2 linked regions of the Yarrowia lipolytica genome follow. The protein of the gene in region 1 purifies or fractionates together with the protein of each later gene. This does not show direct contact. Links are inferred from orthologs where the notes say so. Each region holds a gene or a part of one and is shown on either strand. Other genes may lie near its edges.

The links. The genes of interacting proteins can lie anywhere in the genome.
Region 2: the proteins of YALI1_A03757g (region 1) and YALI1_B19388g purify together in Saccharomyces cerevisiae (affinity purification with mass spectrometry, with the first as the bait; 3 studies listed by BioGRID). This does not show direct contact. The link is inferred for Yarrowia lipolytica from reciprocal best matches to the Saccharomyces cerevisiae genes NOP4 and KRE33.

Annotation. Positions count from the first base shown.
Region 1 is NC_090770.1:370,288-377,728, reverse strand, and holds YALI1_A03757g (uncharacterized protein), read left to right. Parts: upstream 1-2,018; coding exon 2,019-4,124; downstream 4,125-7,441. Other genes in the region: YALI1_A03763g (uncharacterized protein), read right to left, coding at 124-1,392; YALI1_A03721g (uncharacterized protein), read left to right, coding at 5,612-7,429. UniProt on the Saccharomyces cerevisiae protein: Required for 60S ribosomal subunit synthesis. Probably involved in the processing of 27S rRNA to produce mature 25S rRNA.
Region 2 is NC_090771.1:1,934,464-1,942,544, forward strand, and holds YALI1_B19388g (uncharacterized protein), read right to left. Parts: upstream 4,377-8,081; coding exon 1,305-4,376; downstream 1-1,304. Other genes in the region: YALI1_B19348g (uncharacterized protein), read left to right, coding at 392-493, 554-1,216; YALI1_B19390g (uncharacterized protein), read left to right, coding at 4,574-4,793, 5,606-6,969; YALI1_B19429g (uncharacterized protein), read right to left, coding at 8,011-8,081. UniProt on the Saccharomyces cerevisiae protein: RNA cytidine acetyltransferase with specificity toward both 18S rRNA and tRNAs. Catalyzes the formation of N(4)-acetylcytidine (ac4C) at positions 1280 and 1773 in 18S rRNA.

The sequences.
Region 1 (7,441 bases):
GGCCGTAATAACAGTGCTAAGATGTCATTCGCATTACTCGTTGTGTATCAGTGGATGGCAATGTTCATGATCAGTGCCGTAAACAGAAGAAGGCATCATTCGCGTTGCTCATGATGATTGCTTCTACTTATCGGCCTTGTAAGCCCCATCATTCACCGCTCCACTAGTACTGCTCTCCTCTCCAGTCATCCAAGCAGGCATCTTTCTATCATTAATGTCCCCCCTCATGGCCATTCTGTACACACCAGCGTACACATCCGTACCCTCCATCCGTAGCGTCACTTTCCGCGAGTTCCGGGTAATTCTAAACTCCACCATGCTTTGAGGATTCTCCGATCTGTACTGCAGAGGCTCGGTGATCTTTTTTGAGGTGAATTTCGCCGCAATTCTGTTGGCCTTGGAGTTGGCCACTTTGGCAGGCGGCTTTTTGACCATGGCCAGAGGCGACTGGTCGACTTCTCCGGTAGCAAAGACGGACCAGGAGCCCATGGATGCGGCTTTTCGGTTGTCCGAAAGAGTAGTCACCAGGGTATTGAAAGAACGAGTGGGGAGAGCGCTGGAACGGACCAAGGAGATAGGGTCAGCCACAGTAGTGACACTCTGAGTGACAGCATGCAAAACTGTTTGGGCGTAGACGTGATCCATGCTCAGATGAATCACGTGAGGCGAATGGTAGGGAAACACCAGGTACAGGGGCTTCAAACGAGCATCGTCATTGGCAGCGTCATATGGTTTGACACGAACCACAATGACAGGCAGCTCAGGATGACGCATGGCGTGCACGTGGCATCTAAAGGCAGGATAGATTGCCTCACTCATTCGCGTGGCAATGGTGCCAATGCTCAAATCAGGTACCTTCTCTTTACCGACAGAATCTTTCACTGTACTGTAGCTCCAAACCAGCATTTCTGGACGTTCAAAAACGTCTCCCCAAATGTCCAGTTGGGCCAGTTGCAGTAGATTGAGACCGGCATTCCAGTACTTTTGTCCCACGAGCTGCATGTATGCCTTTCGAGACTGCACTCCTTCAGTCAGTTCTTTACGAGCATCGTCCATGATCTTTTCGTACTTGGGACCACCTCGAGCCACAATAACGCCTTCCTCCACTTCATCAATCCCCTCATCGGCCTCAGCGTCGTCCTCGTCGTCTGAGAGCGCGTCCAAGTCGAATAAATAGTCGTCCTGAGAGTTGATGGCCACCAGCGGCAGACAGTCTTTAGACCCCAGCCACAGCTGAGTCAGGTTGTACAGCGTGTTGTGAGAACACTTGTTGAGCGCGTTTCGTCGCAAATTCGTGGTCTGCTTCAGGACCATCTGGTCCCTTAACGTGCCATTGAACTTCATGGTGTATCTTGTGTTGTGTTCGCGTCTCCATCGCATCGCGACCTGCATGCTGGAAGACTATGTCAACATTGGAGATCACGTGATTTCGGGATCCGGGAAAACATCCCCTAGAGAGCTGAGTTTGAAAATACGGTAAGCTAGAGACGGATATCTCGTTGGTTGTAGTGTGTGATTCTCTTCACAAAGGTGATATATATGTTTGTAGCGGTTTTTAGGGCGTGATATCTTGCCTTCTATACACTACATCGTTTTCCGTTATATACTGTCCTGAATTGGAAGTCAATTAGGGGAAAAAGATAGCGTAAGAATCTCCCAGACGAAATCTACATAATGGTTCTCTCAGCTCTGTTCTATGATCACTATGTCTTGTTTCCACACTCCAAAACGCACGATTTCGGTGTGGCTGACTAATCAAGCAAACATACACGCAAGAAAAGTGTCCAAGAGTAGTGAAACGAGCTTCAGGATAAGAACTGTTGATTTTTTAATAAAATTACTTGCAATTTTCTCCCATATTAGATGTTTACTCGTTTACCAATATCACTTCCAAACCGGGGCATCAGTCTTTTTAAGGTTTGGAAGGCAAAAAAAAATATGCATGATATGGAAATTTTCCTGGACCGATTTCGATTTCCATTTACACCCTTTACACCACACAACTACGTTTCAAAAAAATGGTTCGAGACACAAAAGACAAGGTGGACAAGGGCAAGACGGATTTGTTTGTGCGGTCCATCCCTCTGGAGGTGACGAACGAGGAGCTGGCGGACTTTTTCTCACAGGACTTCCCCGTGAAGCATGCCGTGGTGGTGACCAATGCTGCGACCAAGGAGTCCAAGGGGTTCGGGTTTGTGTCTTTCACGACCGAGGAGGATGCTGCGGAGGCGCTGCTCAAGTGCCGAAAGCAGAAGCTCAAGGGCAAGATTCTTCAGATCGAGTTTGCCAAGCCTCGAGAGCGAAAGACCAGAGAGGACCGGCCGTTTGAGAGCAGTGGAGACAACAATACTTCTGTGGAGAAGCGAAAGCCGCGACTAATTGTGCGAAACCTGCCGTGGTCGGTGCGGGAGCCCCAGGATCTGATCAAGGTGTTTTCCAAGTACGGCAAGGTGGTCGATGCGTTTATTCCCCGAGGAGCTGGAGGCAAGATGAGTGGGTTTGGATTTGTGACCATGAGCAAAAAGCAGCATGCTGACAAGGCTGTGGCCGAAAGCAAGGGTCTTGAGATTGACGGGCGAACTGTTACCGTTGACTTTGCCATTCAGAAGGACAAGTGGCTGAAACATAAGGACGGAGAAGAGGTCGAGGACGAGGAGTATGACGACGACGAGGACGAGGTCAAGGACGAGGTCAAGGACGAGGACGTGGATACTGAGGTCAAGGATGAGGTCAAGGAGGAAGATCTCGATCTGGATGAGTCCAATGCCGATGTTGCCGAGGGTGACGATGATGACGAAGACGAGATTGAGGTGGATGAGGAGGAGGAAGAGGAGGAGGATGATACTCCCAAGGTCAAGGCCCAATCCAACTCCTCGACCGTTTTTGTGCGAAACATTCCTTACGATGCCACAGCAGAGTCCCTCAAGGAGCACTTTGAGAACTTTGGTGCTGTTCGATACGCTCTTCCTGTCATTGACAAGACCACGGGCCAGCCCCGAGGAACTGCCTTTGTTGCGTTCGAATCATCCGACGACTGCGACAAGTGTGTTGAGCGAGCTCCTGCTGCAGCCACCACTTCTCTGCTTGTTGCTGATGATACCGACCCTCGGTACGTGTTTGAGGGCCGAATTCTGGCCGTCACTCAGGCTGTCCAGCGAGAAACCGCCAACAAGCTGTCTGAACACAATTCGAAAAAGCGAGCCGAGGCTCTGGGTAAGCTGCCCAAGGAGAAAGATCGACGAAACGTCTTCCTGATCAACGAGGGTCGAATCGGCGAGAACACTGCTCTGGGTATGACTCTGCCCAAGGCCGACATGGAGCTGCGACAAAAGTCATACGACCAGCGAAAGAAACAGCTGAACGGCAACCCCAGTCTGCACGTGTCCCTGACTCGTCTGGCTCTGCGAAACCTGCCCCGAGCTCTCAACGCGAAGGGTCTTAAGGCTCTGGGTCGAAAGGCCGTGGTGCAATTTGCCACTGAAGCCAAGGAGGGTGCTCGACAGCCTCTGTCCAAGGAGGAGGCTATTCGGTCGACCAAGGCTCGAACCGAAGAGGCTGCCAAGTCCAAGCATGGAGTGGTCCGACAGGCAAAGGTGATTATGGAGCAGAAGGAGAGCGGAGAGCTGGGCCGATCTCGAGGATATGGTTTCCTGGAGTTCCGAGACCACAAGGCTGCTCTCATGGCGCTGCGATGGCTGAACGCTCACGAGGTGTCTACTGAGGAGGTTCTTGAGGGCTACGAGGAGAACGAGCGAAAACACGTTGATCTTACTGGTTCTTCGCGACGTCACCTGGTGGCTGAGTTTGCAATTGAGAACGCACAGGTTGTCAAGCGACGAAAGGAGACTATGGCTCGAATCAACATGCAGAAGAAGCGACATCGGGACGACGAGGGAGGAGCGGACGAGGGTTCTTCCGAACACAAGCGACCCCGACGAGAGGGAGACCGAAGAGACCGAGGAGACCGAAGAGACCGAGGAGATCGAAAAGACCGAAAGGGTGACCGAAAGGGCAAGGGGGGAGACAAGAAGGATGAGTCTCGACAGCCTGAAAAGGACAAGAACCTGGAGCTCGGAAAGCTCATTGGACAGAAGCGAATGCGAAAGAAGAAGGGAGGAAAGTAAGCGTTCCTTCAAGTTTGAAGGAAACAAACAGTGTTGTTGATAGACTAATTAACACCGTAGAGCAGTGGAGTATGGGCTCGCTGCTTCTGCATTAGTATGATAATATAGAAAATGAATGCCTAAAGTCTATGAACGAGTAGGGTGACAGAGAACTAGAGATGCAACAAAAGTACATTATGCACAGTATATACTGTAGTACAGTACATACAGTAGTATGTCTCGCTCCAAGGGGCAAAAAGAAAAGCCCGACGTGGGGCTTGAACCCACAGCCTTGAGATATTCTCAAATCTGAAATACAATGGACTAAGAGTCTCACGCTCTACCGATTGAGCTAGCCAGGCGGTGAAAAAGTGCGAAACTTTGGTCAAGGGTATCGAAAAGGTGTTTAGTCAGCGGGGGAAAAGGAGGAGAACGCAAAAATGCGAGAACACGATGGTTATGTGCTTTTCTGAACACCCTAACCCGGGTCCTATGTGCGGGTATAGCATATAGGCTTCAAGTAGCTGAAATGTATTTCCCTAGAATAAAAAAAATGGCCAAGAAGCTCTAGACTCAAGGACTGAAGCGAAATTGCTCATTCGCGATCCATTCACTAGTGTAAAGTCATTCTCACGGCGCGATCGATGGGCCGAGTTTCGGGGTATGAGTTGTCGTGAGTAATATAGTTAGAAATTAGAATAACAGCTTAGATCCATCAATTAAATTCAACAAAGTTACTTATATTTCTCAGGTAAAAATAGTTTTTACAATCAACGTGTCTCTGGGCAAAGATGGCCAGAAAGAGCGGACTATTCACGTCGTAAAGCCATTCCATCGATTACCGACAGTGATCATCACCCAGATGCCAGATACTCTACATTTTTCGACCCCGCTGTCATAGCTCCTTTGTAAGGGTGACTTTAGCGGAGATTAAATGCTATAAAATGACAGTGGCAATGATAAGGAGTGTAGGGCTGCTGGAGCAAAGGGATGTATATAGTGGTATCAGATAGAGTCTTCCAGAGCAGTGGAATTCACTTGTTTGATCCAGATGTCAAAATCAGGCGAGTGAAGTCGACAGTGTACGCAATTACTACTTCAGCAGTCAGCAACGACGATGTGTATTATAGAGAGTGCTGATTGTAGTCACAGTGCGCAGAACCAATACTCTGGAGGGATCCAAAGGGCCAGTTACAAAACAGCACCCAGTGTATATCCAATCAGGCTATTCGTGGCCTCGATATTATTATCGCTTAGATCTCGTCTAGAGCGTTTCCCCCCCCCCCCCCCCCCCCCCCCCCCGGTGGGTCGAATTCTTTTTTGTTCTTTTTTTATTCTGTTTTAGTTCTATCGACAGGTCAAAATTACATGTTGGGACGGATGAGGATAACGAACTCTATCGAATAGAGTTGATTAGGGGTGCACTCGGTGACGCTAAGAGAAGTGGTAAACAGGACCCAGGTTCAAGCCGCCACAATAACACCACCACCACCGCCACAACAACCACCATGTCTCTGTTTTCGGCGGCCACTACAGCCGTGGAGCGAACGGGCTATGGCTCGCGCTACGACCACATTTTCGACATGTTCCATCCCATAGACGGCCGGATTCCCGCAGTTTGCTACAAGCGGCTTTTGGAGACCATCAACGTTTCGGGCGAAGACAAGGACCGGCTGGCGACGCTGGCAGGATCGATTCTGGAGGGCGGCGACGGCAGCGGAGGCATTCTCACATCGTCCTTCACTCGCGAGTCGTGGCGAGCAGCCCTGTTGCTGGCCAATGTGGCGCAGGATGGCCTGCCGTTCGACGACCCATCGCAGCTCGTCAACGTGGACACTCTGACGCCAATGGACTTTTCCGAGGAGGGCGAGCGGTCTAGCATCAACTTTAGCGCCTCGACAACCGGTAGATCACAGACGCCACTGTTTGGAGATGATCTCGACGACCATAGCATCCAGAGCAGCAGAAGTGAGAGCATCATCCACAACAACGGACACAGCAGGGGCCACAGTGCTCTGGACTGGAACCCGGAGGAACAGGAGGCTCTACAACAGTCACAGCTGTCGCAATCGCAGCTGTCCCGCTCTACAACCCCACCTCCTCTCAACCCCCAGGCCCTGGTTCCCGAGTCCGAGTCTGGAGTATGGACTGCCCCTCCACGACCCGATTTCGCACCCAACAAGGCCGACTCAGTGACACTGGCTATTGTGCCCGAACGCGAGGGCATGTTTTTGTTCCGTCACGTCAACTACTCAATCTCTTCAGTGTCGGGAACAGACCGCATCACGGTCATCCGACGGTACTCGGACTTTTCCTGGCTGCAAGACTATCTTCTGAAGAAGTACTGTTTTCGACAGGTGCCACTTTTGCCGCCCAAGCGACTGGCTGTCAACGGTCATTATCTGTCCTCCGACAACTACTTTTTGGAACGTCGACGACGAGGTCTGACTCGGTTCATTAACCAAGTTCTTCGGCACCCCGTGCTGGGCCAGGATGAGGCAGTGCGAACTTTTGTCACCCTGCGAAACGATATCAGCGGCTGGAAAAAGAGTGTGTTCAACACCGCCCGAGAAGAGTTCAACGGACGAACGATTGATCCAAAGTTTGTGCAACAGTGGGATGAGCAGCAGGCGACTGCTCTATGGGCCGGTCTCATTGTTGAGCTGGACAGATCGCACGACTCCGTGGTTCAGCTGTGTGTTCTTCTGGACCGAGTGGCTAAACGACAAGAGGCCCAGGCTGTTGACAGCGCCAAAATCGCATACAACCTTGGCGCAGCTCTTCCTCCCTCCGCCCGCGTGCTCTACTCTGTCGCCGATGACGGGTGCGTCCAGCAGATCACTCGGGGTCTCAGTCGGGCTTCGGCACGCATTGAAACCGACTGCCAGCTTCAGCAGGACGAGGCACGAGGTTCGCAGGTGGGAGTGCTTGAAGAGGCCAAAAAGTACCGGGAGGCGCTGGGCTCGATGCGGGAACTGTTTGACCGGTTGGAAAAGTACGGAGGCAACAACATCCCGCTGCTGGAGAAGCGGATCCAGCAGAACCAGGGCCGTGTGACTCTGGCCCGGCAGAGAAAGGCGCTCATGTCGGAGATTGAGAAGCTGGACCGCGCCATCAAGATGGACACCGAGATGATTGCGGCCCACAAGAACCGAACGTGGCTGATCAGGGAGTGCATTACGGAGGAGATTGGCCTGTTCCAGAAGACGCAGTTGCAGATATCCAAGCTGCTGCAGGAGTTTTGCGTGGACAAGATCAAGTACGCTGAGCTGTATTCGGACAACTGGGGAGGGCTGGATAATGATGTTATGGATTTGCCAGTCTAACCGTATATGACC
Region 2 (8,081 bases), on another chromosome or scaffold:
AAAGCATTAAAACTGGCTAATCAAATTAGGGGGCATAACTCCACGGCTGTTTTAGTCTGTCGTTTGTCTCAGTCAGTGTTGGTTCAACCAAGTACATACCGTACAAGATCATCTTGCTGTGTAACTATAGTATTACTGTACGTGCCCCAAGAAATATCATGGGTAAACATATACCTCTCCGACTGCACGCAAAGCCATGTAAACCTGGAACCTTTTTGATGGAACAAAAATTATTCCAGATTGCACTATCAGTTGAGCAGTTAGTTTCCCCTCATATCAGTTTGTTTCTCATTGCCAAAAGACCCCCCTTCGTCTCACATTGTTAAGCTGCATGTAAGCAGTAAGGCTTATCGCAGCTAGGTGCAGTAATCATCTTCGACACCATCACACCATGATCCGACGAAAAATAGCTGAGAAAAAACTGGCCAAGGAGGAGGATAAGCGCGAGGTCACTTTGGTGGCACTCAGTGGCCCCTCGTCCAGTGGAAAGAGTGTGAGTATGAATCGTTTGCACGAGGTGCAGTCCCCGTTACAGAACTGGCACTAACTTCAGACTCTAGCTCGTCTGCTTCGAGACATTCTTCCCCACGTCATCATCATCCACCAAGACGACTTTTACCTGGAGGACTCGCAGATCCCAGTTATTGATGGAGTTCAAGATTGGGATTGTCCCGAGGCTTTTGATTTCAAGCTACTGTCCAAGGTTTTGAGCCATGTCAAGCAGACTGGAGAGCTGCCCAAAAATTTCAAATCGAAGGAGGACCAGAACTCCCTGGGACCCGCTGCTCTTGATGAAAACGCTGTCGACGCCTTTAAGCGTCGAATGCACCCTTACATGCCTGAGTTTGAGAACAAGCTGATTGTCATTCTGGATGGTATCATGGTCTACCATGACGCTCAATTCACCGAGTTGTTCGATATCAAGATTCTGGTCAGATCCAGTTACGAAAACCTCAAGTCTCGACGAGAAGCTCGATCCGGATACGTCACTCTGGAAGGGTTTTGGAAGGATCCTGAGGGATACTTCCACAACATTGTTTGGCCCGGTTACCTAAAGACCCACAAACAGCTGTTTGAAAACGAAAATCCCAACGGAGAACCCAGTAAGGACGCCACCAGAGAAGGAATCCGAATCGTGCCCACCACCGATTTCGACGTGGCCGAGACTCTTGATTGGGTGTTTGATGTCATTCTGGACTATTACGATCTTGAGTAAAGACCATGCACATATTTATAATCGTGACTCTACTTAATTAATTGTACATACATTGTAATAAATCTATCAGTTTTTATATGTCATTAGTTTATTTCTTGCCCTTCTTGCTCTTCTTGGCAGACTTGAGAGCGTTCATCTCCTCTTTGTAGATGCTATCGACACTCTCGGCCTTTCGCTTCTTCTCTTTGCTGCTGTTGCGCACAGCAAGAGTTGTGCCAGCCTTGCCGGTAGCAGCCTTGGAAGCCCCCTTCTTGGCTCCCTCCCAGTCATCGTCGTTGATCTTGAACTCGTTGAGATCCAAGGCATTGATGAGTTCTCGCTGCTTCTCTCTAAGAGCCGCGGTCACCTCATCTCCAGCCTCCTCAAGCTCGTCAGTAACATCCTCCTGGACCTCGCCAAACATATCCTCCTCGCCATCCAGCTCTCGGACATCTTCATGAAGCTGCTTGGGCATCTGCTCGTCGATGGCAGAAGAGAGCACCTCTCGGAAGTAATTGGACACCTTTCGGATGATTTTGGAGAACATCGCCATGTTTTGAGAAACAGACAGGTTGAGCTCAGCAGACATCTTGTCCATGTCCTTTCGTTGAAGACCAATACCAAGCAGAACAGCAGACTGAACAATAGACAGCTTGATGTTGGCAGGGAACTGGTCTCGGAAGTACATTGTAGCAATTGCAGGAAGCATATCGACAATGACGTGGTAATCCAACAGGTTGTTGGCATAGGACTCGAGTCGCTTCAGATCAAAGGGAGTGAAGAGTCGGTCAAGCTCGGCCTTGGTGACAGGAACTCTCTCCTTCTTGTTCATCGACTTGGCAGACTCCACAAGTGATAGAGCATGAGAAGCGGTGAACGAGCTGAACTCAAAAGAAAGAAGAGTGAGGAACCGCTTGTGAAAGTCACTGGAGAACTCGGCGAGCCAGGAGTCGTCCTGACCCTTGAGACCTCGAAGCATGACACAAGTGTGCTCACCAGTGAGCTCGTTGGCTGTCTGTCGCAGGTATACAGGTACGTAGCCGTTTCGCTTCCAGAACTTGTGCAGCTGGTTGGTAAGACCGTAAGAAACACCCATGTAGTTGAGTCGATGGGGAGGAATCTCGGACAGCTTGTTCAGCAGAGGAGGCATGGAGGCAGCGTCTCGAACCGTGATCTTATCGGTCAGCTTGCCCTTGGCAAGTTCTGCGTCGGTAACTCGGACAATAGACTGGTTCTCGAGAGACGTTCGCTCGGAGATATCTGTGAACTTTCCCTCAAAGTAATCCTGAAGCAAGTCCAGAGCTCGGCCACCGTAGCCCATACCCATGTACTCGGGGTTGGTGGCAATTCTGACGATTCGAGCGCCAGAGAGAGATGCAAATTCGTCGTCCTGGTACTGCTGGGACATGAGCCAGGGGATCAGGTCACCGCTAGATCGCTGGCCTCTAGACAAGGCGTTTCGAACACTGTCCTTTGAAATCTCACCTTCAAGCGCAACCTGGACAACAACCAGAGGCTCGGGAAGCTGGTTACCCTCCTGGGGGCCCAGAAGAACGTAGAGCTGATGAGCGGGAGCATCGGACAGCAGCTGCAGATCGTTGGGAGTGTTCTTGTAATGAGATGCCACGTAGAGAGCCATCATTCGATGCAAAAATGCCTCAGAGACCGCATGGTAGGAGAAGAGAGTGTCTCTGTTGACGGCAAAAAGCTGACACTTGTCAGGGTGAGGAGTGGCAGCATTCTTGGCCTTGGGAGCAATAGTGGCGTCGAGGCACAGCAGCTTGTTGAGCCACTTCTCGACGGGGTCACCAGGAGCGTATCGGATGGGCTCATCCAGCACAACTTCATGCAGAGTTCGGCCCATCTGAGTCTTTCCAGAGCTCTCTCGCAGCTGCTGGATCAGCTTAAGAGATAGAGATCGACCAGTACCTTCGTAACCATTGATGGTAGAAGCCATGAAGACAAGGTAGGGACCAAGCAGTTTCTTCACAACGGGGAGCGGAATTGCGGCAGCCTCATCGATTACGACCAGCTCCGCCTGACCCAGAACATGCGAGTCGCCAGGGACAATGTACTGAATTGTCTGTCGATGGGACTTGAAGATGTTGACTCGGACAATGGCCTTGTTAAAAGCAGGGTTGGTGGACTGCTGGATGTCGTAGTCAACATGCTCCTCATATCCTAGGGCATCGAATCCCTTGAAGATGAACTCGAAGAGGGTCTTCAAGTTTTCGGGGGAAGGAGAGGTGATGAAGATGTTGGAGTAGCCCTGGCCAACAGCGGCAGCAATTGCCACACCAAGAGCAGCCGACTTACCTCGACCTCGGCCAGCGGTAAGAGCAACTGTGCTCTTGAGGTTCTTCTCAACAATCGTATCGATGAAAGTCAGGATAGCCTTACCCTGGTCCACAGTCTTTGCAATCTTAACCAGGTCACCGGTGGGCTTGATGTCAGCAAGAGAATCCTTAAGGTCTCGAAGAGCCTGGACGTTCTCAGGAACATCCTCGTCCTCGTCAAGAGGAGGCAGAGCTTTGACTGTCTTGGCTCCCGAGATGGGGAGAACGTTGAGCTCGTCATCAACAACGAGACACGTTCGACAGTCATTAAGAGACAGCAAGAATCGCTCGTTGAAACGGGCAACAACATCATTGTGGGCCTCAGTTCGGTATCGGGAGTGGATATCCATGGTCATAGTATACAGTTGCTTTACGGAGGCCATGCTCTTAAGCATCATAACCACAATACCTCCACCCTCGACAGTCTCAATAGTCCGGGCCAGCAGATTAGGGGTCAGAGCCTCAAAGTCTTGCAGGATACACATGCCGTAGGTGTTACCGAGAATCTTCTCAGTGTCCTTGTAGAAGCAGTATCGAATGTTCTGCAGAGAGACAAACAGCTCAAAGGGATCCTCTTGGTTGACCTCTCGGATGCCCTGCTTGATCTCCTTCTTGATCTTGGTCTCTCGCTTCTTTCTGTGCGAGGTGAATCCCAGCAACTTGTGTTTGTAGGCCCACAGAACAGACTTGTTCATTCGAATGTCTGCGGACGACATGAGGTAGTGCAGGTTGGGGAGTTGGTTTTTCGCATTATCTCCAACAATGATGAAGAAAGAACGCTGCTTTTCCTGGACTCCGTTTCGGATCAGAGCCGGAATTCGGGGGTCGATTTGCTTCTTTCCCATTGTGAGTGTGTGTATTCACTTGGATTCCTGCAGGCGAATTTCTCTATCTAAATTTTGTCTAAAATCCAGAATTTTTTTAGGCCTTGCATGATCCTGCATGATCCGGTAGGGTAAGGCACCTTGTTGTAAGTTCAACATGGCACACGAACCAAAAGTTGATCACCACCAAAGAAAAAAACATCCCTACACAACAGATAATGTCCTCCACAGATAAGGTCCGATACGACCCGTCGTCTTTCCTGGGCGAGATTTCGGGCAAGAAGGTCAACGTTCGGGTCTCCACCGGCACCACTTTCTCTGGCGTCCTCCAGTCTGTTGATGGATACATGAGCATTGTTCTGGAGAACGCTGAGGAGCTGGTTGATGACAAGGTCGTCGGTATCTATGATGATGACGTTTTTATTCGAGGAAACAATGGTGAGTATAAAAGTGGCATTTGGAATAATGTAAAGGTTGGGCCAGAAGAAGTGGGGATCACGACAGCAGCTCTATAAGCACGATCGCCTTCAGATTAATGCGTGGGCTTCAATGCCGTTGATCATATGAATGTGAATCGATTTTTAATATGATTCCCACGGCTTAGTTGAGGCGAATAGACGACCAACTGGCCTTGTGGGCTTCTCGAGTTATCCCATCTATTACAGATTCAACAAAGATGATATATAACACCACTAACACAGTCCTCTATGTCGCTGCTGCTGACAAATAACTTATTGAGTCTTCTGTAAATATACACGGTTGGTAATGAAGGAATGTCTATTCTATGAGGTGTAGGGTTGTAAGAAAACTACAAGGTCCGCGCTGAAACATGATCAGTCTGGTGCAGCTTGTTTACAACTAATTAGCATCAGTAGACCAATCACTGGTATGTCTTGACCTTCTGCGACTACTGATATTCAGTGGTACTTAGTTATTGTGGGCCCATTTGATTGTACTTGGAACCCACCCTGTACTGTATGTACAGTATGTACAGTGATACCCTAACAGGTGACTCCAATTAACCTATGCATATTTATAACCAACACCTTCCTTCTGTGTCACGGCCCACCCTACTGCAACTAGTTGGCCACAAACACAACGCCCCCGACACAACACGAGCCCCCGCAACCCCCAATTAATATTGATACCCCCACTTTGATTGATCTCGATACCCAGACGCAATATCATGATACCAGCGAGTTAGTTGTAACCTCTTCATACCCCTCATCTCCCACTTCCTACTAACACAGAACGACGATTGGACTCATCGCCTGAGACGTCTCCCACTCGTGTCAACAAGCGAGACTCGGGACTTGCCCTTTCACCATTGTCGTCGCCCCCAGCAGCCACCCCGAAGCTTGCACCCCGATCCAAGTCGCTCTACAAGACAGGTCCTCCCTTCGTGAGTGCTCAGCAGGCAGTGGCACTTTGTTCCGCAGATGGTACACCAGCCACCATCAGACTTCATGCGCGGCTGGATCGCGGCTTCGAAGAGGAGAACGGCAGCTGGATCTGCTACAGACGTAACTATATGTCACTGTGTGCTGCGTTCGACATTGTGGAGCATTCCATCGTTCCAATGACCCCGCCGTACCCTACAGGCCCAGTGTACATCGCTAGTGGTCCTCACGAGAACGCCCAATGTCTCTATTTTGTGCTGCGAGTGGAGGCCCGTGTGTGCTCCACCAACGCTCCCGCCACCCTCATGCAACACACCGCCAAACGAGATCCAGGATCTCAAGCGGCCCCCAGCGACACCATCTTGTTTCCTGGGAAGCTCCCCCCTCATGAGTTCATCCGAGACACTGCCAACGTCCGGTGTCCCAAGAGGCTTGAGGAGATTTTCGACCAGGTTAATCTGACACTAACAGAGCAGGCTAACCTGTCCAAGACACAAGTTCAGTTTCTGGAAACCTACCCGGACGCAAATAAAGCGGCAATTTCCCGGGTCGCACGGTTCGAGCGCCTCCAGTTCCAGTTCATTCACAGAAGTCGCCGGGAAGGGTGCAAGTACCGTCTGCGGGTGAACCTGATGGCAATGATCTCACATAACAATGTTCACGATCTGATTGAGATCGCTTCTAGCCACACACCAGAAATTGTGGTACGAGGCAGGTCTCCTGCAAGCTACACTGAGTCGGGCTCCTGCCAGAAACCCAGTCGAAACAGCTCAAAAAGTTCCAAAAGCTGTTCTTATACTTCTCCTGGCTTGCCCGGATCCCCTACTACTTTGGACTTCTTTGGTCTGGGAACTCAGCTGTCAGAGTTTGATGTAACTGATAATCTTGGCGGTGGAGAGGACCAAGCGTTTGGAGAGTTCAATTGTGAGTCGCCCTCTCCCACTGGTAGCTCACGTGAAAATCGTCTTTATTTGTTGCCTGACTTGTCTCAGAGCCTTTCCGAATCTGAATCTGAATCTGACTTCACTTCAGACGAAGATGTGCAGGTTACCCAGCTGCTTCTCAAGCTCCCTCCACCCCAGCTATCGACCAATGGTGAAAATGTCGAGGTTAAATCTGAGCCCGAAGAGCTCAAGGAGTTTGCGCCACAGTTGACCTTTGATACAACAGGCTTCGCTCTTGAAGCTGGGAGCGAACCGTCATTTGAAATCTAGCAATCTAGCCGTGAATATATATATATATATATATGTTGGTGGCCATGTATCGCGACTCATCAAAGTATAAGTAGCAAATTGCTACTACAAAAACTTACAGCACATTGCGCCACCTGGTTACTGATACTTGTACTTTTGTAATACGGTAAGTAGATTTTGTGATTTTCTTACAAAAGCTGTTAGCCTCTCTTTCATCTCTTACTTTCGGTGGGGAAGATAAAGTTGGTGATTCATGATGTCATTATCGTACTTAGAGTAGCTACAGTAAAGTGAAGTCAATAGTTGGGGAAGTTAGCTACCAACGTGTTGAGTGCATTCATTCCAGTCCGTGGAAACGGCACACACTGTATTCAGCAGTGTTACATAGCCGCGGACACTTTTTTTCCAGGCCTTAACTCTGATCATGTGTGATATTATACACCTCATGGCACGCTACTTGTAGAGCATATTGAATCTTGGTTTAGTGCAACCGTCTGATCGATCCACAGTTTGAGTGGAACACCATCCAACAGTGTAATTTTAACTTTGCAACACTGCACCCCTTAAGGTTTCGAGACCTTTGTTTACTTTTGCCAATTGCGTGTTTCTGAGCCTCTCTGAATTGGGATGGAGGTACTATGGATTCATGGGTTCATGGAGCATTGGGGGAGGTGAGTCAATGAGTTGATTGCACAAAACCCAAGCCCTTTACACCAGTTCTGGGCTGTGTTGTTTGTTAATTGGCAACCTATATTGCGTTTTACTGGTTAAAGGTCAACCTAACCATGGGCCAAGCTTCTGCAAGTGTGCTGCTAGCAATGCATGTCGTGCGGCCGAAGAACAAGTCGAATACTTGTAGCAATGTCAAATATGTTGGGTTGTGTGATGGTTCGAACACAGAATTGCCACTTTGTATATGTTATTAAGCCAATTGGTTGCAATACTGCCATACACTGCCATGAATGGCCGGACTACGACTTTCAAACGAAGCATTACACATGCAATAGTATTGCAGTCTATATCATAATATAAATATTAAGTGGGTAGTTGTACAAAGACCGCTTAGATGAGCTGAGCAAGAGCACCGACAACGATGGCACCAACAGCGGGGGCAACAATACCAGCACCGGACT